3 linked regions of the Sus scrofa genome follow. The protein of the gene in region 1 interacts with the protein of each later gene in a pairwise test. Links are inferred from orthologs where the notes say so. Each region holds a gene or a part of one and is shown in the gene's direction. Other genes may lie near its edges. The genes, in order: VPS52, PPP1R18 and WTAP.

What was found.
Region 2: the proteins of VPS52 (region 1) and PPP1R18 interact in binary tests that used the Homo sapiens proteins (3 or more experiments, as listed by UniProt). The two-hybrid records come from large-scale screens. The link is inferred for Sus scrofa from reciprocal best matches to the Homo sapiens genes VPS52 and PPP1R18.
Region 3: the proteins of VPS52 (region 1) and WTAP interact in binary tests that used the Homo sapiens proteins (3 or more experiments, as listed by UniProt). The two-hybrid records come from large-scale screens. The link is inferred for Sus scrofa from reciprocal best matches to the Homo sapiens genes VPS52 and WTAP.

The regions. Positions count from the first base shown.
Region 1 is NC_010449.5:29,624,779-29,634,981, reverse strand, and holds part of VPS52 (vacuolar protein sorting-associated protein 52 homolog), read left to right. Parts: coding exon 1-94; intron 95-210; coding exon 211-343; intron 344-450; coding exon 451-508; intron 509-844; coding exon 845-978; intron 979-1,581; coding exon 1,582-1,737; intron 1,738-2,162; coding exon 2,163-2,281; intron 2,282-2,547; coding exon 2,548-2,671; intron 2,672-2,953; coding exon 2,954-3,049; intron 3,050-3,128; coding exon 3,129-3,236; intron 3,237-3,429; coding exon 3,430-3,495; intron 3,496-9,023; coding exon 9,024-9,135; intron 9,136-9,622; coding exon 9,623-9,741; intron 9,742-10,050; coding exon 10,051-10,197; 3' UTR 10,198-10,203. UniProt on the Homo sapiens protein: Acts as a component of the GARP complex that is involved in retrograde transport from early and late endosomes to the trans-Golgi network (TGN).
Region 2 is NC_010449.5:23,215,787-23,226,089, reverse strand, and holds the start of PPP1R18 (phostensin), read left to right. Parts: upstream 1-3,794; 5' UTR 3,795-4,008; intron 4,009-4,627; exon of another isoform or gene 4,628-4,689; intron 4,690-4,705; exon of another isoform or gene 4,706-4,954; intron 4,955-5,226; exon of another isoform or gene 5,227-5,747; 5' UTR 5,748-5,774; coding exon 5,775-7,376; intron 7,377-10,303. Other genes in the region: NRM (nurim), read left to right, coding at 594-726, 1,576-1,772, 2,377-2,553, 2,869-3,150.
Region 3 is NC_010443.5:7,630,065-7,640,267, reverse strand, and holds part of WTAP (pre-mRNA-splicing regulator WTAP), read left to right. Parts: intron 1-142; coding exon 143-198; intron 199-3,620; coding exon 3,621-3,679; intron 3,680-4,954; coding exon 4,955-5,082; intron 5,083-9,511; coding exon 9,512-9,694; 3' UTR 9,695-9,907; coding exon of another isoform or gene 9,908-9,968; 3' UTR 9,969-10,203. UniProt on the Homo sapiens protein: Associated component of the WMM complex, a complex that mediates N6-methyladenosine (m6A) methylation of RNAs, a modification that plays a role in the efficiency of mRNA splicing and RNA processing.

The DNA.
Region 1 (10,203 bases):
CAAAGATCCGAGAGTTCATCCTTCAGAAGATCTATTCCTTCAGGAAACCAATGACCAACTATCAGATCCCCCAAACGGCCCTACTGAAGTACAGGTGGCCACCTGAACGAAAGACCGTCTTGGGGGGAGGGGGGGACTCCCAGCTTTTGCGCAGCACGCGTGGTGTCTGGTGGTGCAGGTGACGGGGCTGACCCGTCCCTGCCACTCCAGGTTCTTCTATCAGTTCCTGCTGGGCAATGAGCGGGCCACGGCCAAGGAGGTCAGGGACGAATACGTGGAGACGCTGAGCAAGATGTACCTGTCTTACTACCGCTCCTACCTGGGGCGGCTCATGAAGGTGCAGGTGAGGCCAGGAGAAAGGCGGCCCCTGCCCTGGCTCAGAGCCGAGAGCCCTTTCTTGTTGCACTCTGGAAAGGGTTGGGTACCAGGGCTCCTTTCTCTTTTCTTTAGTATGAGGAAGTCGCTGAGAAGGATGATCTGATGGGCGTGGAGGACACAGCAAAGAAAGATATCCTGCAGCTGAGGACCGCTCCTGCTGGGCCTGGGGCGGGCGGGGCTTCTGGGTCCAGCCTCTGGGGCTCTGCTGCTCACCTCTGGGAGCGTGATAAAAGCTATGACTTTCTCCCTCAAGAAAATGCGCAAATCACTTTGATGTGTTGTTTTGCATGTCATGTCAGGGGTGGAGAGGCTCCCTGGGGCCCATTTGCAGACATCCGTTGAAGTGGGGCCCTGGTCCTGGGGGATGCTGAGGCTGTCTGGCTGCCAGGGCCCAATGGAGTTCCCAAGGCTTTGATCTTCCATCACTGCAGTGACAGTACTGTATTCCTTGATTGTGACCCTGCACGCTTCTTCTCAAAGCCGTCCCTCCGCAGCAGGAACACCATTTTCACCCTGGGGACCCGTGGCTCCGTCATCTCGCCCACTGAACTGGAAGCCCCCATCCTTGTGCCGCACACAGCGCAGCGGGGAGAACAGAGGGTAGGAGGAGGAGGAGGCAGACCCCTGAGTGAATCCCCCGGCCAGTCACCGGGTCAGGAGGCAGGCCTGGGGGTGGGGGCAGGAGCAGCAGCAGCGGCAGGCGGGGGGTGGGGGGTGCTCTCCTCCTGTGCCCCCACCTCTTCAGTCCCCATTCAGGATGCCCTCTCGAAGCCTGGACTCGGGTTAGAGGGGAGTGCCTCCTGTGCTCTCCTTGCCCAGCTTTCCTGGTCTTTCAGCCACGTCAACCCTTCTCTCTCCCCTCTTTTTCCCTCCCCTCCTAGTACCCTTTTTTTTTTTTTTTTTTGTCTTTTTTGCTATTTCTTGGGCCGCTCCCGCGGCATATGGAGATTCCCAGGCTAGGGGTCTAATCGGAGCTGTAGCCACCAGCCTACACCAGAGCCACAGCCACGCGGGATCCGAGCCGAGTCTGCAACCTGCACAGCTCACGGCAACGCCGGATCGCCAACCCACTGAGCGAGGGCAGGGATCGAACCCGCAACCTCATGGTTCCTAGTCGGATTCATTAACCACTGTGCCACGACGGGAACTCCTTTTTTTTTTTTTATTTTATTTTTTTAAAATTTAATTTAATTTTTTTTCTAGTACCCTTTTGAGGCACTCTTCCGCAGCCAGCACTATGCCCTCCTGGACAACTCCTGCCGAGAATATCTTTTCATCTGCGAGTTCTTCGTGGTGTCTGGCCCGGCTGCACACGACCTCTTCCACGCTGTCATGGGCCGCACCCTCAGCATGACGCTGGTAAGTGCCCTGGCTCCCCTGCTCTCTGCCCTCCAGGTCCTCCTTACTCATCACTGAGGTCAGGGCTCTGGACAGACTGCAACCAGATGCCCTCTTTCTAAAGCTGTGTGACTCCCCATGGAACCACCACAGCTTGGGGTCTCCCAGAACACCCCTGCCGCAGACCCACACCAGGCAATAGCACCTGAAAACTCAGGGGCCCTTAAACCTTGGTGTTCAGCCCTGAATTGTGCTGTGATGGGCCTGTGACCACAGATCTGGTGAGCAAGGCAGAGGATCGGTGGGCAGGGAAGGAGGGAGCATTTTCCTTTTAGATCGTCCCCCCCCCCACATCCCCAGAGGAGCCCGTGCATTTGTCTGTAGCCACTTGAATGACAGAGTCCCAAACACAATCCTCCAATCCCCTTCCTGTTCCTAAATCACAGAAGCACCTGGAGTCTTACCTGGCCGACTGCTACGATGCCATAGCGGTTTTTCTCTGTATCCATATTGTTCTCCGGTTCCGAAACATTGCAGCAAAGAGGGATGTCCCCGCCCTGGACAGGTGCTGAATTCTGGTTCTCGACGCCCCCCCCCACCAGCCTTGAGCTCTTGGTCTCCTACACACCTGCCCTGACCCTTGGGCTCCTAGTGGCCTCATCCCATTGGCCCTGTCCCTGTGTGTCTGCTGGGAAGCAGTGCTCTTGCTTCCAGACCCAGCTTTCACACCCTCCTGCCCCTGTGCCGGTCAGGGTGCCCGCACACACCCCAACCCCACCTCCCCACCCCTGTGCTCCTTGCTGCTATCTCTGATTCTGGCGAAGCCCACAGGTACTGGGAACAGGTGCTTGCCTTGCTGTGGCCGCGGTTTGAGCTGATCCTGGAGATGAACGTCCAGAGCGTCCGGAGCACTGACCCCCAGCGCCTCGGGGGGCTGGACACTCGGCCTCACTATGTGAGGGGGGGCGAGGGTAACTGGTTTGGGAAGCAGGGCTCCACGCTTGGCCATGGGGTTGCCCAGGGTCATGGTCATGGTGCAGCATATGCAGCTTCACTGGGTGAGAAGCAGCGAGGAGTATGATTAGACTGGGTTGGAATGGGACACACACGGTGGTGGGGAGGGATCCGAGACGGGAGTCACCCAGAGGCTGCTTGACCAGCTTCAAGGGCTTCCAGGGGCTTGTTGGTTGGGCCAGGGCACAGGTAGGATTTTTTTCTCCTGCCTTCTGCCTCCCAGATCACACGCCGATATGCAGAGTTCTCCTCTGCCCTCGTCAGCATCAATCAGACGATTCCCAATGAGCGGACGATGCAGCTGCTGGGTCAGCTACAGGTGAGGGCAGGGGCAGGGCAGTGGCTGGGTTGCAGAAGGCCCCTGCCTTCCGAGTCACCGCCTCCTGCCACTTTTTCAGGTGGAGGTGGAGAATTTTGTCCTCCGAGTAGCAGCCGAGTTCTCCTCAAGGAAGGAGCAGCTTGTGTTTCTGATCAACAACTATGACATGATGCTGGGCGTGCTGATGGTAAGGGCCCCTCTGGCTCCCTTCGGGCCCCCCACCGCTCTCTCAGCTCCGTGAGAGCCAAGACCCTGCTGACCTCGTTCAGTGTTTGATTCTCGGCACCTGGCACGGCGTCTGGCCAACGTGGGAGGGAGGGGCTCGCAGACTTGAAATGCGGCTTCTCCACAACCTTAGGTTTTGCTCTGTCTCCTCTTAGGAGAGGGCTGCTGATGACAGCAAAGAGGTTGAAAGTTTCCAGCAGCTGCTCAATGCTCGGACACAGGTAGGGGTGTGGGGAAGGGAAGGAGGACCTGTGTGCCGTATTTGTTTTTGTTCAGAGTGTGGGTGTGGAGTGGCAATTAGTGGACTCCAGGTACACAGAACTGGAATTGTAATGCTTTGTAACACTTGGTTCAGACCAGGCTGTCATTACTGGTCTATTTTATTTTTGTGTTTTTTTTAAATTTATTTTAATTTTTATTTGCTTTAAAGGGCCGCACCTGCGGCATATAGAAGTTTGCAGGCTAGGCGATGAATTGGAGCTACAGCTGCCGGCCTACACCGCAGCCACAGCAACTCCAGATCTGAGCTGTGTCTGTGACGTACATTATAGGTCATGGCAACACTGGATCCTTAACCCACTGAGTGAGGCCGGGGATCAAAACATGTCTTCCTGGATACTAGTTGGGTTCATTACCTCTGAGTCACCATGGAAACTCCTAAATTTTATTTACTTTTAAAATGGAGATATTGGAGTTCCCTTTGTGGCTCAGCAGTCAATAAACCTGACTAGGATCCGTTAGAGTTCGATCCCTGACCTCGCTCTCTCAGTGGGTTAAGGATCTGGCATTGCCATGAGCTGTGGTGTAGGTCGCAGATGCAGCTCAGTTCCTGGGTTGCTGTGGCTGTGGTGTAGGCTGGCAGCTACAGCTCCGATTTGACCCCTAGCCTGGGAACCTCCATATGCCACAGGTGTGGCCCTAAAATAGCAAAAAAAAAAATAATAATAAAATAAATAAATAAAGGAGTTCCCGTCGTGGCTCAGTGGTTAATGAATCCGACTGGTAATCATGAGGTTGCGGGTTCGATCCCTGGCCTTGCTCAGTGGGTTAAGGATCCGGCATTGCTGTGAGCTGTGGTGTAGGTTGCAGATGCGGCTCGGATCCCACGTTGCTGTGGCTCTGGCATAGGCCAGTGGCTATAGCTCCAATTAGACCCTTAGCCTGGGAACCTCCGTAGGCGGCCCTAGAAAAGGCAAAAAGACAAAAATTAAAACAAAATAAAATGGAGATATTTTTGAAGTACAATCTCATGTAAATTACAGGTCTACAACACAGGGAGTCACAATTTTAAAAGGTTATGTGCCAGGAGTTTCTGTTGTGGTGCAGTGGAAACACACCTGACTAGTGTCCATGAGGATGCAGGTTCGATCCTTGGCCTCGCTCAGGGGGTCAGGAATCTGGCGTTGCTGTGGGTTGTATAGGCCAGCAGCTGCAGCTCTGATTTGACCCCTAGCCTGGAAACTTCCATATGTTGTGGGTTCCTAAATCACAGCAACACCTGGAGTGGCCCTAAAAAGAAAAAAAAAAAAGGTTATGTGCCATTTATGGTTCTTATAAAATATTTACTTTATTCTGTGTTTTCCAGTATATCCTTCTACCTTGCTTATTTTTTAAAGTATGGTGATTTACAATGATATGCTAATTTCTGCTGTACAGCAAAGTGACCCAAACATGTATAGATACGTTCCTTTTCTCACACTCCATCATGTCCTGTCCCTAGTGATTGGCTATAGTTCCCCGTGCTGTACAGCAGGACTTCATTGCTTATCCATTCTAAGTGTAATAGTTTGCATCTACTAACCCCAGACTCCCAGTCCATCCCACTCCCTGCCCCTCCTCCTTGGCAACCACAATTCCGTTCTCCATGTCTGAGAGTCTGTTTCTGTTTTGTAGATAGGTTCATTTGTGCCATATTTTAGATTCCACACATAAGTGATATCATATGGTGTTTGTCTTTCTCTTTCTGACTTACTTCACTTAGCATGAGAGTCTCTAGTTCTATCCAAGTTGCTGCAAATGGCATTATTTTGTTCTTTTTTATGGCCAAGTAGTATTCCATTGTGTATATGTACCACGTCTTCTTAATCCATTCACCTGTTGTTGGACATTTAGGTTGTTTCCATGTCTTGGCTCTTGTTACTAGTGCTGCAGTGAACATAGGGATGCAGTATCTTTTTCAGTGAGTTTTTGTTTGGATATATGCCCAGGAGTGGGATTGCTGGGTCATATGGTAGTTCTATATTTAGTTTTCTAAGCTACCTCCATACTGTTTTCCATAGTGGCTGTACCAAGGTACATTCCCACTGACAGTGTAGGAAGGTTCCCTTTTCTCCACATCTTCTCCAGCATTTGTTATTTGTAGACTTATTAATGGTAGCCATTCTCACCGGTGTGAGGTGGTACATTGTAGTTTTGATTAGCATTTCTCTAATAATTAGTGATGTTGAGCATTTTTTCACGTGCCTTTTGGCCATTTCTGTCTTTTGTAGGGCTGCACCTGCGGCATATGGGGGTTCCCAGGCTAGGGGTCTAATCGGAGCTACAGCTGCTGGCCTATGCCACAGCCACAGCAATTCGGGGTCCGAGCTGTCTGTGACCTATGCCACAGCTCACAGCAACACCGGATCCTTAACCCACTGAGCAAGGCCAGGGATCCGAACCCGCAACCTCATGATTCCTAGTTGGAGTTGTTTCTGCTGTGCCACAATGGGAACTCCTGTATGTCTTCTTTGGAGAATTGTCTGTTCAGGTTTTCTGCCCCTTTTTCGATTGTGGATTTTTTTTTTTTTTTTGCTGTTGTATGAGTTGTTTGTATATTTTGGAGATGAAGCCTTTGTCAGTTGCATCGTTTACAACTCTTTTCTCCCGTTCCGTAGGTTGTCTTTTTTTTATGGTTTCCTTTGCTATGTGAAGCTTGTGAGTTTGATTAGGTCCCATTGGCCTATTTTTGTTTTTATTTCTATTGCCTTGGGTGACTGACCTAAGAAGACATGTGTATGGTTGATGTCAGAGAATGTTTTGCCTATGTTCTCTTCTAGGAATTTTATAGTATCTTTATAGTATCTTATGTTTAAGTCTTTAAGTCATTTTGAGTTTATGTTTGTGTATGGTGCGAGGGAGTATTCTAGTTTATTTATTTTCTTACTTTTTTTTTTTTTTTTTTTTTTTTTTTTTGTCTTTTTAGGGCTGCACCTGTGGCATATGGAGGTTCCCAGGCTGGGGACTGAATTTGAGCTGTAGCTGCTGGCCTACACCACAGCCACAGCAATGCAGGATCTGAGCCACACCTGCAAACTACACCATAGCTCATGGCAACACCAGATCCTTAACCCACTCAGCGAGGCCAGGGATTGAACCCATGTCCTCATGGATATTAGTCAGGTTCATTTACCACTGAGCCATGACGGGGAACTCCCTAGTTTCTTATTTATTTTATGCATAATAGTTTGGCTTTCTTAGTCCCTTAACCTTACCCCTCTTTTGCCCCTCCCCCAGAACCAGTATTATTATTTTTTTGTCTTTTTACCATTTCTTGGGCCACTCCCGCGGCATATGGAGGTTCCCAGGCTAGGTATCCAATAGGAGCTGTAGCTGCTGGCCTACGCCAGAGCCCCAGCAACATGGGATCCAAGCCGCCATCTGCAGCCTATACCACAGCTCACGGCAATGCCAGATCCTTAGCCCACGGAGCAAGGCCAGGGATCAAACCCGCAACCTGATGGTTCCTAGTCAGATTCTTTAACCACTGCGCCACAGTCCCGGAACCAGTATTTGTATGTGTGTGTGTCTGATTTTTAGGGCTGCATCTACTGAATATGAGGTTCCCAGGCTAGGGGTTGAATCAGAGCTACAGCTGCCAGCCTATAGAACTAGTATCTTTTTTTTTTTTTTTTTTTTTTTTTTTTGTCTTTTGTCTTTTTAGGGCCGCACCCAGGCATATGGAGGTTCCCAGGCTAGGGGTCGAATCAGAGCTACAGCTGCTGGCCTACACCACAGCCACAGCAACATGTGATCCGAGCCGAGTCTGCAGCCTACACCACAGCTCATGGCAATGCTGGATCCTTAACCCACTGAGCAAGGCCAGGGATCGAACCCGCATCCTCATGGTTACCAGTCGGATTCGTTAACCACTGAGCCACGACGGGAACTCCGAACCAGTATCTTTTTTAACCTTACATTCCTCCAGTCTTTTTTCTGTCCAGGGATCTGGTTAGTTGTAGGTTAAACATTCCCATTCCATTCTCTGTTTAGTAACATAAACATGTATCATGGCTGAGAAAGGAAGCTGTTGTCCTTACCTGCACAGTTAGGGGACAGAGGGAATATCAGTTCTTCCTCAGAAGTGCAGTTCCCTTGCCCTCTGACCCCACAACCAGTGGACCCTGCTGGGAGCAGCTGAGGCACTGAGGCATTTGCTATGGTGGGGAGCCAGCTGTCACCAGCGCTCCCTGGCCTTTTTGGGGGCTGCTGCTCGGTGTCATGGGACAGATTGCTAGCCAAAGCCCAGGGCACCCCTTCCTTCTTTCCATTCCTCTGCTGCCAGAACTTCTCTTTTGCTGGATTGAGAGCTTAAAGTTCATCCAAGTCTAGACTGGTGCTGTCCAATTGAAATATGATGCAGAGTTCCCTGGTGGCACACTGGGTTAAGGACCTGGCATTGTCGTGCTGCAGCTCAGGTTGCTGCTATGGCCCAGGTTCCATTCCTGGCCTGAGAACTTCTACATGCTGCTGGTGTGACCAAAGAAAGTGTTACCTTTTTTTTTTTTTTTTTTTTTGGTCTTTTGCCCTTTCTAGGGCCGCTTCCCAAGGCATATGGAGGTTCCCAGGCTAGGGGTCTAATCGGAGCTATAGCCGCCAGCCTACACCAGAGCCACAGCAATGCAGGATCCAAGCCGCGTCTGCAACCTACACCACAGCTCATGGCAATGCTGGATCCTTAACCCAATGAGCAAGGCCAGGGGTCGAACCTGCAACCTCATGGTTCCTAGCTGGGTTTGTTAACCACTGCGCCATGACAGGGACTCCCAGAAAAAGTGTTACTTTTAAATCATTTCTTTAAAATTCCATTGTTTCAAAGCTGTCCATTCCTAATCTTGTGAATTGATCATGTGTGTGTCTGTATCTTTAATTTCTTTGAACATTTCATACAGAAGGCCCAGCTGCTGTGTATGTGGCAGTGTAACGTTGGCTGTCTTGGGCGCTCTTGGGTGTACTGTCTGTGCTAATTTTCCTGGTAGTCTCTTTCTTACGACTGCTGGTCTTTGACTCCTCTCCTTGACCTTAATCGGGGGAGTCCCAGGGCCCTGCGCTGGGACTGAGGGTTTTTCAGAGAAGGTTGGCATCTCCTTTTACAGTCACTGAAAAATGCCCTCCCCCTGGGTCTACACTGCCACCTGTTAGAGGCTCTCGTGAGAGAGGCAGCTCAGCTTCCCACTCAAGGCTGGCATCCCGCTCAGCTTCTGGGTAGCAGGTGGCCATGGCCACTTACCTCTGGCAGCCCTGCCTCTCCCAGTTGCCCACTTCCCTGGTTCCAGCCCTCTGCTCCCAGCTCCATTTTGTAAACCATTTAATGAATTAATTATTTTGAGGAGGGTAGTCCTTGGAGATTTCCCTTAGCTCTGGGAGACCTTTCTAGAGATGAGCTGTGCTGTTACAGGAGTGTTCTAAGGACCCAGGTGGTCATGACGCCAGACCTGGGAGGACCTGCAGACATCAGGAAACTCGACTGTGTGTGTGTGTGTCTCTACAGGAATTCATCGAAGAGCTGCTATCTCCCCCTTTTGGGGGTCTGGTGGCATTTGTGAAGGAAGCTGAGGCCCTGATTGAGCGTGGGCAAGCCGAACGACTCCGAGGGGAAGAAGGTAAGAAGGGTGGGTGGGGTCAGTGAGAGGTGAACGGGAAAGAAGAAATTTAAATTTTTTTGAATTATTTTATTTGCTTTTTAGGGCCGAACTCTCAGCATATGGAGGTTCCCAGGCTAGGGGTCTAATTGGAGCTACAGCTGCCAACCTACACCACGGCCACAGCAACACCAGATCCGAGCCCCGTCTGTGACCTACACCACAGCTCACGGCAACACCGGATCCTTAACCCACTGAGCGAGGCCAGGGATCAAACCCACAAGCTCATGGTTCCTAGTTGGATTTGTTTCCCCTGTGCCACAAAGGGAACTCCCAGGAAAGAAGAAATTTGAGGATGCAGATCACATTGCGGGGGGTGGGGGGGCAGTGGTAGAGCAGGGAAGGGTGGGTTGGTGAAAAGGGGTTGCATGGTGAGGATGGCGGTGCCTGGTGGAGAGCCTAGAGGGATCAAACATCACATGGCTATTACCTCTCCCCCCACGACCAGCCCGCGTTACTCAGCTGATCCGGGGCTTTGGCAGTTCCTGGAAGTCGTCTGTGGAGTCCCTGAGCCAGGATGTCATGCGGAGCTTCACCAACTTCAGGAATGGAACCAGCATCATCCAGGTGACCTGCAGTCCCCAGTCCCACCCACCCACCACTGATTTCCCCCCGCTTTTCTTTTTTGGCTGCGCCCGTGGCGTGCCAAAGTTCCCAGGCCAGGGATGGAACCTGAGCCATAGCAGTGACAATGCTGGCTCCTTAACCCACTGAGCCACCATGGAACTCCCCCACCCCTTTCTCTGGGCTCAGAATCATACAAGTGACCCTTGATTTTCATTCCATCTGGACCCCAAGTCCTGTGCCCTGACATGATCCTAATCGTCACCCTGGTACCACCCCATACCTCATCCCTTGGTGGTTTTCTCCAAGCAGGGAGCACTAACCCAGCTGATCCAGCTCTACCACCGCTTCCACCGTGTGCTGTCCCAGCCCCAGCTCCGAGCCCTCCCAGCCCGTGCTGAGCTTATCAACATCCACCACCTCATGGTGGAGCTCAAGAAGCACAAGCCCAACTTCTGACACACC
Region 2 (10,303 bases), about 6.4 Mb from region 1:
GCCTTTAGCAAACAGAGAGGAACAACTCAACAGTAAGTTATAGAATAAGCATTAATTTGTGGTAAAATAGTAACTCTTTCATCCAGCAAGATATAATAGGTGATTCAGAGCTGTGGGTTCTCAGCCTGGGTCAACAGTCTTCTGTTCTCTCACCTTTCATTATTAAAGTGTTAACTGAGGCTTTGTGACCTCTCACTCTGGCTATTTTCTATCAAAGCTATTGAAGGAAAGGGGGTTCATAATGCTCTGTTTCTGCAAGAATCCTTCAAAAGAGGAATTGACTTCATTTTAGATGCGAAAACTAGCCGAGCTGTGGAATCAAGCCACGTGAGTGACTGCACAGCCCTTGCCCTTTTCACCTCTCACTTGGGATTCTAACATTCCCTTCTGTGACGCGGAGATCGCAGGCTCCCGGGGATCCATCCTGCAGCCTGGTGGTGGAGAACCGCGCGCGCGCCTGCCGGAAGCCCGGACGCCCGCGCGCAGGAGCCCCGCCCTCCTGGGCGAGGTCCCCGGCGGGAGGCGGGTCCGGGGCGGGGCCTGCAGCCGCGGGAATCCCAAACCCGCCCCTTTCCCCACCTCTGTTTCTCGCCATGGCCCCTGCACTGCTCCTCGTCCCTGCTGCCCTCGCATCTTTCATCCTGGCCTTTGGCACCGGAGTGGAGTTCGTGCGCTTTACCTCCCTTCGGCCACTTCTTGGAGGGATCCCGGAGTCTGGTGGTCCGGGTGAGCGGGAGGGGCCGAGGACGAGCTCTGGGGTAGGGGGGTGGAGCCGGAGCCGAGGGAGCGGGGGCGGGGTTTGGAGACAAATGACAGGGGAAGTCCAGGAGAGGGAACTGGAACCGTGAAAGCCGCCGAGGAGCTGCAGTGGAGACCAAAGGGCTAAATTGGGAACCCAGGGATTAGCGGTTTGGAGAGGCGGGAGAGTGAGGCTGAGGGGGAGGGAAAGGGCGATGAAGAGAGTATTCCAATGAAAGTGCTTCGTAAAGAGGACTAAGGAGAAGAGTGTTATAAAGAGGGAGTATTAGGAGAACTGAAACAAGAAGGGCAGTCCAACAGTGGGTGGCCTCTGCAGCCATGCGTTTCATGACTATCCAACACGAATCCTTTTCCTCTGAAGGAGGTCTGGGGAAGAGGGAAGAAACAGGGAAGAAAAACAGGAAACAAGAGGGAAGAAAAATGAGGTGGGGAGTTCCTCTTGTGGCTCAGTGGATTAGGAACCTGACATAGTATCCGTGAGGGTGCGGGTTGGATCCCTTAGTCAGTGGGTGAAGGCTCTGGTGGTGTAAGCTGCAGCGTGGGTTACAGATCTAGCTCAGATCTGATGTTGCCGTGGCTATGGTGTAGGTCTGCAGTGCAGCTCCAAGGCTACCCCTAGCCCAGGAACTTCCGTATGCCACAGGTATGGCCCTAAAAAGAAAACAAAACAAAAAAGAAAAGTGAGGTGGGCAAAGCCTAGAGAGGAAGCATTAGGCTCTTGAAAACATTAAGGGATGTGGTCCTAAGATGAAATAAGGGTCAGGAGTGTTGCCCACCATCTTCTTGATTTGTGTCCGTTTTTCCAACTCCCGCTAGATGCTCGCCAGGGCTGGCTGGCTGCCCTGCAGGACCAAAGCATCTTGGTCCCTCTGGCTTGGGATCTGGGGCTCCTGCTACTATTTGTGGGGCAGCACAGCCTCATGGCAACTGAGACAGTGAAAGCATGGATGTCCCGGTACTTTGGGGTCCTTCAGAGGTCACTGTACGTGGCATGCACTGCCCTGGCCTTGCAGGTATGGAGCCCTGGCAACTAAGTCCCCAAGGGAAACAGTCTGTGGGAAAGATGCTGTCCATTGGCAAGGCAAGGGCCTTAGGTTTTCTGATAAAATGTGGATTGAGGAGGAGAACTGAAGGTGTTCAGGACTGTAACCTCAGCTTCCATTCCTCCACAGCACAAATCCTACTTTTTATCAAGAAGGATGTACTGCTTGTCATTCCCCGAGCACGATATGTGCATTCTCACCCTTGCAACTTTGTTCCTGTTGTCCTGCTTGAGATACCCTTGTTCGCTCCTCTTCAGTCCCATCCTTTCTTCACAACCACCTCCCTAGGTTTCAAAGAAGGCTTCCCAGTTGCTACTCATCTGTCTTCCCAGTGGGTGCTTGGCATAGGCTACTTTGTGACCCTATCTGGTTACTCACATCCATTCTGTAACTCCTCAGAGTAGAGAGGAGTCATCCTTACATCCTTGGGATCCCACCCAGCCCCCTCCCCTTGGCGAAAATTTTCACAGTGGAGGTGGGAAAGCAGGAGGTCAGCCTGGGGTGGGGGCAGCCTCTGGGTCTAGGTCTTTCAGGAGTGGGCTGCTCGGATACCCACCCCCTCATCCTTCTTCAGCTGGTGATGCGGTACTGGGAGCCTGTACCCAGGGGCCCGGTATTGTGGGAGGCTCAGGCCGAGCCATGGGCCACCTGGGTGCCCCTCCTCTGCTTTGTGCTCCACGTCATTTCCTGGCTCCTCATCTTCAGCATCCTTCTCGTCTTTGACTACGCAGAACTCATGGGCCTCAAACAGGTGAGGCTCCCAGATCCCTCCCTGAGACCTCTGATTCTTTCCAGAACACCTCTTTCCCTTCCAAGGATGTCCCTCCTCCTCCTTCCTCTTGCTTTTGACTCCCTCGCCTCCCTTTCTTGTAAGATAGTCTCCCCCCAAAGGCCAGAAACCATGGCTCTTCTGGACCTGGGGAAAATTCAGGGGCCCAAGTCTCAGAGGGGTGGTTCTTGGATTGAACCTGAGTTATAGAAGGAGGGTGCCTGGAAGGGGAGGAAAGAGGCAGCCAAGTTGTGACAAGGGCTTGAGTCCACTTCTAAGCCGTTCTCCCTCTCCCAGGTGTACTACCACGTGCTGGGGCTGGGTGAGCCCCTGGCCCTGAAGTCTCCCCGAGCTCTGAGACTCTTCTCTCACCTGCGCCACCCCGTGTGCGTGGAGCTGCTGACAGTGCTCTGGGTGGTGCCCACTCTGGGCACTGACCGCCTCCTTCTTGCTCTCCTCCTTACCCTCTACCTGGGCCTGGCTCACGGACTTGACCAGCAAGACCTCCGCTACCTCCGGGCCCAGCTGCAAAGAAAACTCCACCTGCTCTCCCGGCCCCAGGATGGGGAGGCTGAGTGAGAAGCTAACCCTGGTTCCAAGCCCTACACTTCCTCTCCCTCCAATTCCAAACCCCTTCTCATCCAGGACCTGTCTGCTTCAGACCAGAGACCCAAATCCAAGGACTGAAGGACCTGTCCCTTCCCCTGCTTAAGCCTCTCCTTCTTGGGTCCAGCTCTAGACCCTAAATTGAGTTTCAGCTACTGGACGCCAAGGTCCACTTCTCACCAGCCAGGAAGAGGGAGTGGGAAACTTTATCTTTCTCCTCATAGTTTAGGGCTTGACCCTCCGTTTACAACCTCCTTACAAGGAGAAGGGCCTGGCCTGACCAATCCCCTGGCCCTGTTACTCGCCTCTGCGCCTCAGGGATTCTCTTCCCACATCTTGCTCCACCTCCTAGAAGCTGGACCAAGGTCTGCAAGTTTGACAATAGAGGCTGCCCCCCACCCCCCCACCCCAGGCTCCAGGCCTTGCAGCTGCAGGCCAGCCCCACCGCCTGGCCTCTCCAGCTCCATAGGCCCTTGCCCTTGGGCTCTATCCTCGAACTTAGTTGGGCAGATTCTCCCGCTCTTAATTCAGGTGACTAAGTGCTCCCTGCTCTCCCGAGGAACTCGCGCTACAAGAAAATAAAATCCAGCCTGGTTTTTCTACATGTAGCATGCAGTCTGTCCAGTGCCTCTCAAGCTGCAGGGCTGATTCTGGGAAGGACAGGCGAGCCAAGCCCGAGTCAAGGCATCCGCCGCGCCCTCTGGCGACCGCTGGGCGGCGGCCACTCCCAAAGGACCCACCCCTCCTTCAAATCCCCCAATTTCCTCGCTGCAGATTTGGGGGCCCCGGCAGGAGACAGGTTGAAGCTGAAGAGTGGGGACAGCGGCTCGGGTAAGAAAGCGAGCTTCCGAAACCTTTGGCTTCCGAGCACAGCTCCTGCCGATGCCCCACCACCGCCACCACCACGGGCCCCCCGTAGCCCTGCGGCCGCCCCGGCCCCCACACTAACAAAGGCTGGCCGGGGAAAGCAAAAGCGTGGGGAGGAGCGGCAGGAGATGGGAAGGGCGGGCCCCGCTCAGAGCAGCTGCTGCTTCCTCCCCAAGTCCCTCGAGGGGCCTGAGTCACGGGCCGCCGCCCTGGGTCGGCGAGCTGGGGGCGGGGGGTCTGGACACCTGGGTTATCCCGGGTTACCGGGCGGGAGCCGGGTGAGAGGCCCTGGGGACAGACAGCGTAAAGGCCAGGGCTTGCGGCGGGAAAAGAGGTGTCCGGGAGCCCAATCCCACGCGGGGTCGAAGAGGGCGAGGCTCCGCCCCCTAGTCCGGCTCCGCCCCGCGCCCCCTTCGCTCTTCCCCATTGTCCTCAGACAAAGCGGTCGCCGCCCCCCGCCCGGCCCCCAGGTCTCTGTCTCCGTTCCTCCTCCTCCGCTCCCTCTTTCCCTCCTCCTCCCCCTCCCTCCTCCCCTCCCGCCTGTCTCCGGATCTCCCTCGATCCCTCTCTCCTCCTCTTCCTCTCTCCTCCTCTCTCCGGACACCAGGCTCCTCCGCACCCCCGCCCCCGGGAGCCCCGCGGCGAGTGAGTTGACGGAGGGGCTTCAGACTTGGGGAGGGTGTCTCCTCTCTCCCGTCCCTTCTCCCGTCCCCGGCCCGGACCTTGGGCTGTCTCCTCTTTGTGCCGAGATTGCCTGTCTGTGCGGCCAGAGCCGGCTGGGGATGGCCGGCTATGTCGGGGTTCCGTGAGAGCCGATACCGGGCACGGGACTGGCAGGCTCCGGAGGCGTGGAGCTGGTCCTTCGCATGCCTGGGTCCCGGGGCACCGCCGGTGCAGGAGGCAGGCGGTGGTACGGGGACCGGGTGGGGGTGGACGCCAGGGTTCTGGGAATGTGCTGGCAGGTCTGACGCCCGGGTTCCGAAAGTCCCCGGGGGAGGGTATTTCCCCTGACCCGCCTCGGGGCGGAGTGCGGGGCGGGGGGTGGGGGCTGGGGGGCCGGAGAGGCGTGGCCCGAGCGGAGCTGGAAGGGGAGCCCGGACCTCCGGGGCCCGTGCTGAGACTCGCCGGGCTGCAGCCGCGGAGCTCCCTCACCCCTCTGCCCCGATTTCCCCTTCTCCCCAGGACTCGTCCACTCTCCGCCCTCCCACCTTCCCGACACCCGTGCAGATCCCACTGCCCCCTCTCCGGCGGGATTCCCTGACCTCTCCTCCAGCTCTCAGCGCTCCTGGGTAGCGGTGAGGCAACCTTGCCTGGATCCTGTTCCCGTCACCCCCAGCCTCTCTTTTCTCTTCCTCCCTCGCGCCAACTTCTTTCGTTTTTCAGTCTTCTCACATCCTCGGGACTGTCTGATGCCCATTAACCTGTGCTGACAAATCTGACTCCTACCTCTGCCCTGAATCTCCACTCTTCCTCTCAACTCCCTCCCCCCACCCCCTCTACCTGGCTCTTAGTTCCTTCTTCGCGTTCTCAGTGTTCCCCCTTTTCTGCCCTCCCTCTTCTCCCTCTTTCCCTCTGTCCTTCCTCACTCTCAGCTCCTCTGTCCTCTTCCGAGTCCCACCTCTCCCCCCACTTCCTCTCCGCCCACCCCTATTCTCACCCCCTGGGCCTTTCTGGAGCCTCTCCTTCCTGTTCTCTGCCCCCAGCGCTCCCCCACCCTCCCCAAGTCGACCATGGCCACCATCCCGGACTGGAAGCTACAGCTGCTAGCCCGGCGCCGGCAGGAGGAGGCAGCCGTTCGTGGCCGGGAGAAGGCAGAACGGGAACGGCTGTCCCAGATGCCAGCCTGGAAGCGGGGGCTTCTGGAGCGCCGCCGAGCCAAGCTTGGTCTGTCTCCTGGGGAGCCTAGCCCTGCGCCTGGGACTACGGAGGCTGGACCTCCAGACCCAGACAAGTCTGCCGTCCTCCTGGAGGCCATTGGGCCAGTGCACCAGAACCGCTTTATTCGGCAAGAGCGCCAGCAGCAGCAGCAGCAGCGGAGTGAGGAGCTACTTGCGGAAAGACGGCCTGGGCTCTTGGAGGCCCGGGAGTGGAGATCCAGCCCTGGGGAGATGAGGGATCAGAGCCCCAAGGAAAGAGAGTCTAGAGAAGAGCGGCTCAGTCCCAGGGAGGCCAGAGAGAGGAGGCTGGGGATAGGGGGAGCTCGAGAGTCAAGCCCCAGGCCTTTGGAGTCTAGGGACTGGAGGCAGAGCCCAGGAGAGGCTGGAGACCGGAGCTCCAGGCTGTCAGAGGTGCGGAAATGGAGGCTGAGCCCTGGAGAAACTCCGGAGAGGAGTCTAAGACCTGCAGAGCCTCAAGAACAAAGCCCCAGGAGAAAAGAGGTGGTGGAAAGTAGACTGAGCCCGGCGGTCTCTGACCACGAGAAGCTGGGCCTGACAGACGCCCATAAACGGAGGCCTGACTCCGGAGAGTCTCAGGAACAGAGTCTGGTGCTGGAGGCATCAGAGTGGAGGCTGAGCTCAGGAGAAGAAAGAAAAGACTGCTTGGAGGAATGTGGGAGGAAAGAAGAGAGGACACTTCCAGGGATGGTCCCAGAAGACATTACAGGGTCGCCAGAGACCCTGACAATGGAGGCTGCAGGCAGCAGCTCTGGAGGAGTGGAGGCAGCAGACCAGAGGCCCATCCCTGTGGAGGATGGCGAGAGGGACTTGCGGCTGTCAGAAGGGTGGAAATGGACCCTGAACTCTGGGAAGGTTCGAGATCGGACACCTAGGGACACAGAGACTCAGAGTCAGAAACCGGAGTCTGCAGAGAAGCACTTGGGGCCTCTTGGTGCGGAAGCTGGAGAAGGGGAGGCGGAGAAGGAGGAGGCAGGGGCTCAGGGCAGGCCTCTGAGCGCCCTGCAGAACCGCTGCTCAGTGCCCTCCCCCCTCCCACCAGAGGACGCTGGGACTGGAGGCTCTAGACAGCAGGAAGAGGAAGCAGGGGAACTTCGGCCCCCACCAGCAGCCCCTCTGTCTCCCCCACCCCCAGCCCCACCTGCCCCCCAGCCCCCTGGGGATCCCCTCATGAGCCGGCTGTTCTATGGGGTGAAGGCGGGGCCAGGGGTGGGGGCCCCCCGCCGCAGCGGACACACCTTCACAGTCAACCCCCGACGGTCCGCGCCCCCTGCAGCTGCTGCCACTCCAGCCACCCCAGCCACAGCTGACGCTGCAGTCCCCGGAGCTGGAAAGAAGCGGTACCCGACTGCCGAGGAGATCTTGGTTCTGGGGGGCTACCTCCGCCTCAGCCGCAGCTGCCTTGCCAAGGGGTCCCCTGAAAGGCACCACAAACAGGTAGGGAGCAGCCGAGCCAGACTTCTAGAAGCCCACTGGTCCGTTCTCTGTGGACTCCTGTCTTTCTGTCTTTTTTTTATACCCCGGTCTTCTGTCTGTTCTTTCTTAATTCGTGCCACCACCCTTCCTCTCTGTACACACACCCTTCCGTCTTGTAGTCCTTCTTTTCCATTCATTTCCCAGCCCCAGGATCCAGCCTGTGTCCTGGGTGTGTCTCTCTCAGGGTGTGCTCCAGCTGCTCGCTCTCCCTTCCCTCGGGCTCTGAGCACCCCCCACCCCCCATTCTTTCCATTCCTGAGTCTCTGACCCAATCCAGCCCATCTGGTGGGAGACTTGAACCGAGACCACAGCCCGGCACCTGTGAGGGCAGGCTCCACAGGGCAAAAGCACTGCCAGCCTCCCAGGGGAGAGAGTGTTGGGGTAGGAAGCCTGGGGAGGCCGAGGGGGTGGCTTTGGGGTTCTAGGGAGAAATGGCAGTGGGGAGTAAGTGGAAAAAGGTCTCACGATGCAAGGCAGAGGGATGCAAGGCAGAGTGGAGGGGAGATGTCCTTCGGGGGGAGGGGAGGGGAACAGCACTGGCCAAAGAGCAGAGAGAAGGCTTTTGAACCCCACGTCTGCCCCATGGGAGAGACACACACAGAGGCCATTTGAAGTGGGTGACCTCGAGGTTGCACACCCCCAGCTGGGCCACAGCTTCAGACAGTGCTCCCTTCTCTCTTGGGACAAGAAAAGCCTTCTCCTCTTCCAAAATCCCCCCCCACCCCTCCCTGGCTGTCCTTCCTCCCCGGGCTTCCCCTCCCTCCCCAGAACGGGCTCAGTGCTTGGTTTTCCCCTTTATTCTTCCTTCCTGGCCTCTCCCTTCTCTTGGGATCGGAAGAAAGAAGTGAGTTTGGAGCCACTGTGCAGGGAGTACAATGGGAGTTGGGGATGGGGGTGAGGGCTGAGGACGGCAGAAAAGGTCAGAGGTTAAACTGGAAGAAAGGCCCTGCAGGGAAGCTGGGAACAGCCAGACTGACTTCTTCTTCCCCAACTCCTTCCCCATCTACCCGTTTCCGGCTTGAAAATCTCCAAGGAAAGAGATTTGCTGCATCTAACACATCTCCCCAGAGACTGGGGAGCCCTTCCTGGTCCTGATCCCATGTGTGACATCCTCAGACTTGTTTTTCGTGTCCTCAGTATCAGTGGGAAAGCACAGGGACCAATGCTTGGGGGACACGTGAGACCTCGATTCATCTTCACACAATGCTTAGGGTCCCAGCCCCGAGCTGAGCCATGGTCCCTGAGTCTGTCCTGAGCTCTCTGACTTGCAGATGCCAGGAAGTGGGTCAGGAACAGCTGGGCTGACTTGTTCCAAGAAGTCCCTTTCTACTGTAGGGGTTGGCTTGTGCCCCCTGGGGAGGAACGAAGACACGAAGGCATGAAATTTGGGGCCCAAAGCCCAGGGAATGCTCGAGTGCCTGGCAGGACCCGCGAGGGTGACCGTACCTAGGTCAGGGAGCAGGGGAGACGGAAGCAGGTCGCCCAAACAGGAAGCCTGGGTGGGGGCCGGAAGGCTGGTGGGGCTGAATGGTGAACGCAGGGCCATGGGCCTGCCAGAGCTGTGCTCAGGATGTGGTGAGAGAAGAAGGAAGCGGCCACTCAGGGGGTGGGGGTGGGGAAGAAGCAGTGCAGAGTTCTCTGGGCCCAGATACCTTCCCCTCAACCCTCCCTCAGGCCTTCACCACGCTGCCAGCACCCTGTTCATCAGGGATGGGCATGCCCTGTCCCCACCCAAGGGATCAGGGCCACAGCATCCCCCCCACTTCCCTAAATAACTCCCATTTGCAGGCTAATTCCATCAGATGTATCCCTGCCACTGGGAGAGAAATCCCTGCCCTGCCACTGGAGCCCAGGGGTTGGGCTGTAGCTGGTGCCCTTCCTTCCCCAGAGGCCCCTCTGGCGGGGAGACCAGCCCCTCCCCTCTCCAGCCCCCTTGTGACCTTATATAGCTGATGAGAGAGGAGTGAGTGAGTCACCCCCTCCGTGCCCCCCCCACACCCATGCAGGCTGTGCATTCCTGAGAAGCCCAGTCAGTAGTTGGGGTGGGGGGAGAGAAGCAGGGTGAGGGGAGAGAGAGACACAGGGACAGAGAGCAAAAAAAAAAAAAAAAAAAAAAAGGACTTTTCCAGAATGGACAATAACGACACAGCTTGTTATCCCAAAAGGCAATATAAAATGAAACAGAAAGGGGTTCCCAGAAGTTTAGGTAAAACTGTCAGCAGTAGAAGTGGTTCCTTTTGGAAGTTGGGATATAAGGGGCCTGGTTCTTGTCACTTGATTCTGCCAGCCAGCTGTTCCACAGACACAGACCGGGGCCCACTGGGTACAGGCTGGACTGCCCCCCTCCCCCGTGTTCCCCCAGTGTTGATCTTCTGTTGAGACCTCATCTGACATCTGGCTGAGCCCTTCCTTACCCACTGTAGCAACTTCCACACTTCTATTGACAGAAGGCACAAGAAAATTCTCTGGAAGGTTAGGTTAGGAGGTGGTTAAAAAAATGACAGCAGGGACAAGTGGAACCTGGAGGGCCAGGAGGTAGGAGGAGCAAATATGACAACTTTATAATAGTATGATCCAGAGAGAGGGAGCCATTGGGATATTTGGAGGAAGAGTGTTCCAGGCAGAGGGAGCAGCCAGTGCAAAGGCCCCGAGGTAGGCGTGCCCTTGATGGGATTGAAGGAATTCAGGCCAATGTGGCTGGAGTGGAGGAGGATACCCAAGAAGTGAGTGGGGAAAGTCACTTTGGGGCCACCCGTTGGCCTGTGACCAGGCTCTGGCTTTTGCTCCCAGTGAGACAGGGGCCAATGCCACGTTTGTATCCAAGGAGTGACACACACAGTCTCTGAGTTCCAGCTTCCCTCGGGGACCTTGGTGTTAGCAACCATCTG
Region 3 (10,203 bases), on another chromosome or scaffold:
ATTTGTAGTCACAGAAACCAGCAGTTGAGGGATTAAGAGTTGTAGTCCTGTCTTCATAAAAATATGAATGATGTAAGTGCCAGTGGTATTTAATATTTAAAACTTTTAAAATGAGCATTTACTTCATTTCTTAACTTTTTAGGTTCGACTGAGTGAGACAGACTTCAAAGTTATGGCACGAGACGAATTGATTCTAAGGTAAATTGTTCTTTATCAAAAATATAAAATCTTCCTATAGAACGTTACATTGTGATTCTCTCCTATGATGATTCTCTACTATAATGTTTATACCATGTGTTGATTCTAATGTTAATATATCCTCAATCATTCAATATACTCTTCAGACCTTTTTCCTATGGCCTGTTTCTTCATTATATAAACACTGAGGAAAGTAACATTTTATCCTTTTTTGGGGGGGGGGGCTTTCCTAGGGCTGCTCCTGTGGCATATGGAGGTTCCCAGGCTAGGGGTTGAATCGGAGCTGTAGCCACCGGCCTACGCCAGAGCCACAGCAACGCAGGATCCGAGCCGCGTCTGCAACCTACACCACAGCTCTCGGCAACGCCGGATCGTTAACCCACTGAGCAAGGGCAGGGACCGAACCCGCAACCTCATGGTTCCTAGTCGGATTCGTTAACCACTGCGCCACGACGGGAACTCCTAAATTACTTTTATTTTAAATTGCTTTTATTTATTTATTTATTTATTTATTGTCTTTTGTCTTTTTGTTGTTGTTGTTGTCGTTGTTGCTATTTCTTGGGCCGCTCCTGCGGCATATGGAGGTTCCCAGGCTAGGGGTTGAATCGGAGCTGCAGCCACCGGCCTACGCCAGAGCCACAGCAACGCGGGATCCGAGCCATGTCTGGAACCTACACCACAGCTCACAGCAACGCCAGATCCTTAACCCACTGAGCAAGGGCAGGGACCGAACCCACAACCTCATGGTTCCTAGTCGGATTCGTTAACCACTGCGCCACGACGGGAACTCCCTTAAATTCCTTTTAAAGATTACTTTCAGCTCTGAATCTGTGTGGTTGTCTTATAAATGTCTTATTAAAGCAGATTGTCAATTACTCATTTTTTTATTTTAAATCAGAAAATGGGATCGCACATGTTTTGTGTTTTATAACTTAAATATATTCTTTCTGCGTTTTATCACTATGGTAAATTTTTTACGAGATCACTTTTTTTGTTGTTTTTTTTTTAGGGCCCCACCCTCAGCATATGGAGGTTCCCAGGCTAGGGGTTTAATCAGAGCTGTAGCTGCTGGCCTATACCACAGCCACAGCAACACCAGATCTGAGCTACGTCTGCAACCTTCACCACAGCTCATGGCAACGCCAGATTAACCTACTGAGCAGGGCCAGGGATTGAACCCGCAACTTCATGGTTCCTAGTTGGATTCATTTCCGTTGGGCCACAACGGGAACTCTTGGGATCACTTTTAGATTGAAATAAAATTAATGTTTTTCATTGGCAGCCTTTGCAAGGTCATTTAACTTCCTCCTCTAGAAATTTTAAGGAATTTTTGCTTGAAAAACTGAGTGGATTTAGCAGACTGGAAATAGAGGAGAGAAAAGTGGTTTGTGAGATAAGGAAACACAAATGACGTGCTCCATTGTTTCCTGGAGTCTGCCCCCACCACCACCACCACTTAGCTCCTCTATTGCAGACACAAGCTTTTTTATCTTCCTTTGCCATAATTTCACTCACAGGATCATTTGTTTTGTTTTTCGGTCTTTTTTTCTTTTTTTCACTCGTGGCATATGGAGGTTCCCAGGCTAGGGGTCTAATTGGAGCTGTAGCTGCCGGCCTATGCCAGAGCCACAACCACGCCAGATCTGAGCCGCATTTGCGACCTGCACCACAGCTCACGGCAATGCCAGCTCCTTGACCTGCTGAGCGAAGCCAGGGATCGAACCCGAAACCTCATGGTTCTTAGTTGGATTCGTTAACCACTGAGCCACGACAGGAACTCCAGGATTGTTTTTCTACTGATGATGTCTTAATTTTCCCACACATAAAATGTAAATAGTATTTTAAAATACTCTTACCATTTCTTATTCTCAAATAATTCCTCTGGCTAGTATGTGCAGTCTCTTTTCTTGATTTAACTGTAGGGGATGAAAGCAGTGCTATGATCTCAATTTAAAAATCAAATAGCAGTTTTTTAAGTTACCTGTAAGGTTTTAAAATTACATACAATTTTTTTGTTTGTTTGTTTGTTCTTTTTAGGGCTGCACCTGCGGCATATGGAAGCTCCAAGGCTGGGGGTCAAATCATAGCTGTAGCTGTCGGCCTACAGCACAGCCACAGCAACACCAGGTCCTTTACCCACTGAGTGAGACCAGGGATCAAACCCGTATCCTCATGGATTCTAGTTGGATTTATTATGCGCTGAGCCACAGTGGGAACTACAATTTGTGTTCTTGTCATTTTGACTTCTTTCTTTAGGTACTTCTCATTTGACTGCAGTTTTTTCCTTATTAATTCTCTTGGTGATTTTAAATTAACTGTTACCTATTTAATTGCTGCCCCCCTCCCTCGGTCTCCTTGATAAGGATAGTTTAGTTGAATTTTTATATTTCTCTAGTCCAATAAAATAAGTAATTCTTACCTAACCTCCTTAGAACACCTTAATTCATCTGTAAACATTGAATGAACTCCTGTTTGTGTCCTAGGTTGTAGAGGCCATAAAAATAAGAATGCCCTTGGCCTAGTTTTTATATAGAAGGATTAGTTTGATATTACAGAATAGTTTTGCTGTATGTATTAATATGTCTCATAGCAAACTTGTCAGAGGTTTTAAGATTGTAGAACTATTTCCTGAAGTCAAAGTAAATTTTGATTAGCTGTAACTGAAGAGCAGCTTGAAAAGTAGCTTTTCAGTAAGCAAGGTAGCAGACAGGTTACTCTCCAGAAGCAGTTGCTTAAACATAAGACTGGAGAAAGTTTGTCATCTGCAGTAATTGTCAAGAGCAGGTAATATGGCCTATATTTTGAGGGTAGAGGAATATAACAAAAAAAATCATTTTCCACTCTTAGAGTGTATGGCATTTATGCAAGTTGTTTCTGCCAATTAGATATGTTTGGGGTTTATTTTCCCTTGAATTTTTTTTTTTTCTTTTCTTTTCAGCTATAGTTCATTATAGGATATTGAATATAGTTTCCTGTGCTATAGAATAGGCCCTTGTTTAGACTTTTAAAAAATGTGTGTTCTCTTTTTCTACCTTGAGAGAGTCACGTGGTGTTTTCACAAAAGAGGCAAGATAACCTTCATTCCCTTAGAATTAGGCACATTTTGTTTGAGGCAGACAGCACATCTGAAAGAAAGTCTTTCATTCATCTTCTGTAATCCAGGCATCATGCTAAACATCAGTGAGACAAAGTCCCATATGGTGTCTGATCTGACCCAGGGGAGCACCTCTTGGTGTATACTCTCCACAGAAAGCACTCTTCTCTCTGTTTCCGTTTTCCTAACTCCTGTAAGTTGAGAAGGAATGGTTTTGAAGTGACTGATTTATTATGGGTTAAACTGGATTCATAATTATCTCAAAATGGAAGGGACCCTAAAATTTCAACATGGTAACTAACATGGATTTATTTTATTTTTGTACCAGGTGGAAACAATACGAAGCATACGTGCAAGCTTTGGAGGGCAAGTACACAGATCTTAACTGTAAGTTTGAGTTGAGCTTCCTAAAGACATGTGACAGTTTTCTTTTAGATAGTTGTTATAAGCACAGGATAATTGGTTTTACTGAGCAAAGTTTTGCTGATGCTTCTTCAAGCATTTACTAAGGGACTATGTCCATACACTTTGTTGGAGGTGGGCAGATAGGAAGGTCAGTGAGACATGATCTCTTCTTGAGTCACTGGAGAAGACTGACAGGCAGTAATCTCACAACAGTGGGACTCAACTGAACCCCCGGGTTCTGAGAGAGCACAGATAGAGAAATGTACAACCACTTGAAACGTCCCTTGATCCATCCCTTCCTCCCTTCCGTAGAGGAACTTGAAGTGGAGCGTGAATTACTGCTCTGAAAGGGAGGAGTGTAGAAGCAACTGGTATTAAATTCATGATGGCTCGATTTGTAACAATATGATATAGCTGTGTATTTATGGAGTTTTCAAAACCTAAAAATAATACAAGAATTTATCTTGAGACCATTTGAGGTTTTTTGTCACTTTTCACTGAGTTGGAGTAACATACTCTGTGAATATAAAAACCAGTACGGTTTTCCAAGTTGAGAAAGCTTAATGTCCTAAAATTTCCATTATTATGTAAGTATGTTGTAATCCATCTAAGTGGTGAATGTTATAAAAGCTTAGAAGAGGAATGTCCATGCAGTCAGTGGACATCTTTACATTGAGTGAGTTGAAAACAGTATTAATCAGAACTTGGTGAATATTGTACAGGATTTAAAAATGCAAGTCGTGAAGTTTCCTGTGTTTGTTGGGAACAGATTAGACTGTACCAACATAATTCCGTCTCTAGCATTAGGCGGTTGTGGACCACCGTAAACACTACCAAAAGAGCACTCCTGAGCAGGAACAAATTTTCTCGTTATAAAAGTAATTTGGGGAGTTCCTGTTGTGGAACGGCAGAAGTGAATTGGACTAGTAACCATGAGGATGTGGGTTGAATCCCTGGCTCTTCTCAGTGGATTAAGGGTCTGGCATTTCTGTGGGCTGTGGTTTAGGTGGCTGTGGCTGTTTCCGGCAGCTGCAGCTTCCGATTCAGCCCCTCGCCTAGAAACTTCGTATGTGTAGGTGTGGCCCTTTTTAAATAAAAGTAATTCAGATAGAAACCAAAGACTTTGATCTTTTACAGTGGTTTTCATTATCCTTGACAAAGGCAATAAGAATTTTCATTTGATTAGTTCAGTTTGATCTTGAAACTGTATTTCATAATGTTTTGGGATTTTTTTTTTTTTTTCCTTTTAATCATTAGCTAATGATGTAACTGGCTTAAGGGAGTCTGAAGAAAAACTAAAGCAACAACAGCAAGAATCTGCACGCAGGGAAAACATCCTTGTAATGCGCCTAGCAACCAAGGAGCAAGAGATGCAAGAGTGTACTGTGAGTATTTCAGAGGCTTAAAGTCTTCAGAGTAACTGGGTTTGGGTTCGCATTGCTACAGGTATTAACTAATAAGTACTAAACTGCTTTGGGCTTAAATATACCAAATGTAAAATTTTGATAGATAACCCCTCATTATTGGTTTTAAAATAATTTTTTGTGGCCAAGGATATGAAAGTTTCAGGTTATTCTCTGCAATCTCCATGATTTATGAGAATTAGTATAATGGTTCAGATCTCTTTAAGTAACCGGATATCTAAGAGTATAAGGAACATTTACTCTTTACTAAGATAGCCATCTGATTAGGTCATCCTCTGCTAACTTTACCCCTTTTTGCATAAAACTACTTTTCTCTTTTTTTCCCGCCGTTGTAGGACCACACCTGTGGCATATGGAAGTTCCCAGGCCAGGGGTCCAGTCAGAGCTGCAGCTGCCAGCCTACACCACAGCCACAGCAACACAATCCGAGCCATGTCTGCAACCTCTACCACAGCTCACGGCAACACTAGATCGATAACCCAGTGAGCACGGCCAGGGATCAAACCTGTGTCCTCATGAATACTAGTCAGGTTCCTTAATGCTGAAAAAAACAGCTTGGACTCCCAAGATTTTTTCTTAGCGTCGGCGACTTCTACCATGTCTCCTTTTTAATTTTTACATCTTTCATTTATACTTTATTTGCCATGCCTGTGTAGATCTGAAATCTAGCAACATACTTGATTGATCACTTAGCTCTGATTGTAAATTTAGATTGTTTTATGCTCTCTTTGACAGTCTTAACTCTTTTTTTACTGTTTGTATATGTAAGTTACATAAAATAGAGACAGTTCTATCCCCATTGTTTATAATCTTAAAAGCTGAAATTTTCTCGAATCTTCAGGGCAGGCAGTTCTATTTCTGTCTCTTCTTTCATCAATAAATATTCTTTAGGGGTCAGTCATAATTCTTAAACTTCCTGTGCAGAGATTGTCCATATTTCCACCAGAGTCTTTAGTCCCTCTTCCTTCACTTTTTCAAAACAACTTATCTGTTACTTTGCTAAAGAAGAGTAGCCTTTGTTATTTTCTCTACCCCCTCAGCATTCCTTTTGTTTCTACCAGCTTAGATTTCAGCTTCACTGACACAGATTTTTCTTCTGTGGCGTCACTAATGAGTGTATTAAGAAATTTCTCTTTCATTTATTTATTTATTTTTTATTATTTTCCCACTGTACAGCAAGGGGATCAAGTTATCCTTACAAGTATACATTACAATTACATTTTTTTCCCCACCCTTTGTTCTGTTGCAATATGAGTATCTAGACAAAGTTCTCAATGCTATTCAGCAGGATCTCCTTGTAAATCTATTCTAAGTTGTGTCTGATAAGCCCAAGCTCCCTCCCCCTCCCATCAGGCAGCCACAAGTCTCTTCTCCAAGTCCATGATTTTCTTTTCTGAGGAGATGTTCATTTGTGCTGGATATTAGATTCCAGTTATAAGTGATATCATATGGTATTTGTCTTTGTCTTTCTGGCTCATTTCACTCAGGATGAGATTCTCTAGTTCCATCCATGTTGCTGCAAATGGCATTATGTCATTCTTTTTTATGGCTGAGTAGTATTCCATTGTGTATATATACCACCTCTTCCGAATCCAGTCATCTGTTGATGGACATTTGGGTTGTTTCCATGTTCTGGCTATTGTGAATAGTGCTGCAAAGAAATCTCTCTAAGTACTCTTATACCTTCACTTAGCCTAACTTTAGCTATTGACCATTCCTACTTTTGGCTTTTTTTTTTAACCTGGGTACTTGGTTCCAAAAAGTGTCACCAAGATTTTGAATATAAGGATGTGTTTTGTTTTTCCCTGTCTATGACACCCACACCACCCCTCCCCTCCAGTTTTTTTTCTTTCAGGATTTTCACATCTAATGGCATGAGTACTACTTACTTCTCAAGTGCTCGGTCTCAAAACCATTTAATTCTTACTGCGATACTTAGGATCCTAGATTCTACCATTTATTCGTTTAATAGTTTTAGGTTTTCCTGTTGACCTGGCACTATGCTAGATGCCTACACATCAAAGGATGACTTTTACCTTCAGAGTGCTAGCACCTGGGACAGAGTGTGAATGGATGGTGCTGATGGTACTGTCTCAACCTCAGTGGGTCTTGATTTCTTTCTGTCTTTGGAGTCCTGCTCTTGCCATCCTAGCCCAGGTTCTTCTTAGCACCTGCTGTTGATTCACCTCAGTAACTGCGCAGGCAGTTGTGATCATATTAGGCATCATCAAAGCCTTTGGTGATGTCCCATCACCCCTTCCTAACCTAGATTTTACGGTTTTTTCCCAACTAGAACCTAACTTTCTTCAGCCACATTTTTTTAACAGCTCTCCTCTGCACAGGCCACTGTTCTTTTCAGTGGGATGCAGAGTGAGGTTTTGTAGAAAGGGCAGCAGGCACAAAAATACAAGGAAATGGCAAGTTTATGTGTAGCACATGAGGGCAGTTTGCTTTGCCAACCTGTACACATAGATGTGACGACGACGTCAGTGGCAGAGAGACGGTGTTTTCTTCAGTGACGGCAGTCATGGTGTTTGTTACCTGACATGATTTGTTCCTGTCAAATTACCTTAACAGTTGGCTTTATATTGAATAAAATAGTTGTAGTTTTTGGCTTAAAATGAGTTGTTTTAAAAAATCTCCTTAAGGAGTTCCTGTCGTGGCTCAGTGGTTAACGAATCCGACTAGGAACCATGAGGTTGCGGGTTCAATCCCTGGCCTTGCTCAGTGGGTTAAGGATCCTGCGTTGCTGTGGCTCTGGCATAGGAACCTCCATATGCCACGGGAGCGGCCCAAGAAATGGCAAAAAGACAAAAAAAAAAATCTCCTTAAGTTAGAAGAAAAAATAATTAGTTCCCATGTGCTCAGTGAAATAGTAGTTGAATATATTCCTAATCCACTTAGTGTATTTGTATCTTTTACTTAATTTATAGTAAAAATAAAATAATTAAAAATAATAATAAATTTGAAAATAAATTACAGCTGCCTAGGAAGTGTTAATTTTAAGTCCTGTTGGAGGTTTAGTGTGGAGCAGGATCTTGAACAAGATTTACCCTGGGTGTGAGGGAACTGATGCAGTTAATACTAATAACCTGTTTCATATTTTAGAAATGTATTTTTAGTGTGCTAGAAAGTAGTGCAGTCGAAGTTGAAATTGAAGGTTTCAATGTAAGTAGAGGGATTTGGTATGATGGGAAAAGCCCTAGGTTGGGGGTCAGGAGGCTTAAGACCTAGGATTCTAGTTTCAGTACTAGCACTGAACTAACTATATTCTTGGACAATTGGCTATTTAATCTCTCAAAAAAAGCAGTTTGGATCAGGTCAGTCACCTTACAGCTCTACAAAGCTGTGATTTAAATCTACTCAGAAGGAAAAAAATAATTATATACCTAATTTTGAGTTAAGATGTTGTTTATGAAGCTATAATGCCAAGTCGTAAATATGTAAGTAATACATATTTTTAAAATTTAGAAATGCAAATATGTCTTCATACATATCTTGTACCTGGTATGTTTTTATGGGGTTCGAACATAGAATAGTTTCCCACAAGCATAGATTTGAATGAGTAAATGACTATTCTAATATCTTATTGTCTTCTGAGCACCGCAACCACGGCATATGGAAGTTCCCAGGCTAGGGGTCAAGTTGAAACTACAGCTGCTGGCCTACACCACAGCCACAGCAACGCCACACATGAGCCTCATCTGTAACCTATACTACAGCTCACTGCAACACTGGATCCTTAACCCACTGAGCAAGGCCACGGATTGAACCCACATCCTCATGGATCCTAGTTGGGTTTGTTAGTGCTGAGCCACAATGGGAACTCCATAATTAATATTTTAAACTTGGCCTTTTTTTCAGTGGGCATCACCATTTTTAGTAACTGTAACACTAAATTTTTTTATGTGGTTTTTTTTTTGGGGGGTGGTACTCTTTTGGTTGTAAATATGTAATCTCTTTATTAAAGTTTCCAGCAGTTCCTGTCGTGGCTTAGTGGTTGACGAATCCGACTAGGAACCATGAGGTTGCGGGTTCAATCCCTGGCCTTGCTCAGTGGGCTAAGGATCCGGCGTTGCCATGAGCTGTGGCGTAGGTCGCAGACAAGACTCGGATCCCTCATTGCTGTGGCTGTGGTGTAGGCCGGCAGCTACAGCTCCGATTGGACCCCGAGCCTGGGAACCTCTGTATGCTGCGGGTGCAGCCCTAAAAAAGACAAAAGAGAAAAAAAAAATTTCAACATGGAATGTAGTCAAAGAGCTTTATTCCTACATGGATAGGAGGGGCTTAATAAACAAGTTGGCAAGTCCAATGAATGAAGGGGATTTTATCCCATCTTCTTAGTCTCTTCTCTTTGTTTGGTGGTAACTAGGTTTTTTCCTTTGCACAGACTCAAATCCAGTACCTCAAGCAAGTCCAGCAGCCTAGCGTTGCCCAACTGAGATCAACAATGGTCGACCCAGCGATCAACTTGTTTTTCCTAAAAATGAAAGGTGAACTGGAACAGACTAAAGACAAACTGGAACAAGCCCAAAATGAACTGAGTGCCTGGAAGTTTACGCCTGATAGGTAAACAAATCATACTCCCCAGTCAAGACTTCCCTGACAGTCCCACTGCGAGAAAGCTGTGGTGGGACAGCCACGTACTCGTTTCCACACCAAGACTCAGACTTTTTGAGCCAAAAAAGCCACATTCTTATACTATCCAGCTTGTTATGGTTAATGTAAAACTTACCAGATGAACCTTGTGTTTCAGCTTTTTCTCTTCCCCCTCCCCTTGCTTCAGAGGCCTGATGGCGTCGGACTATTCCGAAGAAGTGGCCACCTCCGAAAAATTCCCCTTCTAGAACATTAGACACTTGAGAAATGTTTGTTTGAAGAAAATAGAGGGAGAAACAGAAGTCTTAAGTCTGTGGCACACACTGTGTCTTCAGACAGTTTGGAGGAATGAAAACCTAGAGATTTAAAATCATGAATTGAACATGTAAAATTCCAGTAAAATGTAAAGATGGAATATGCATCGCTCTTAACCTTGAGCATAGTGACTTAGAGACACTGTGTATCAGTATTGCCAATAAGACT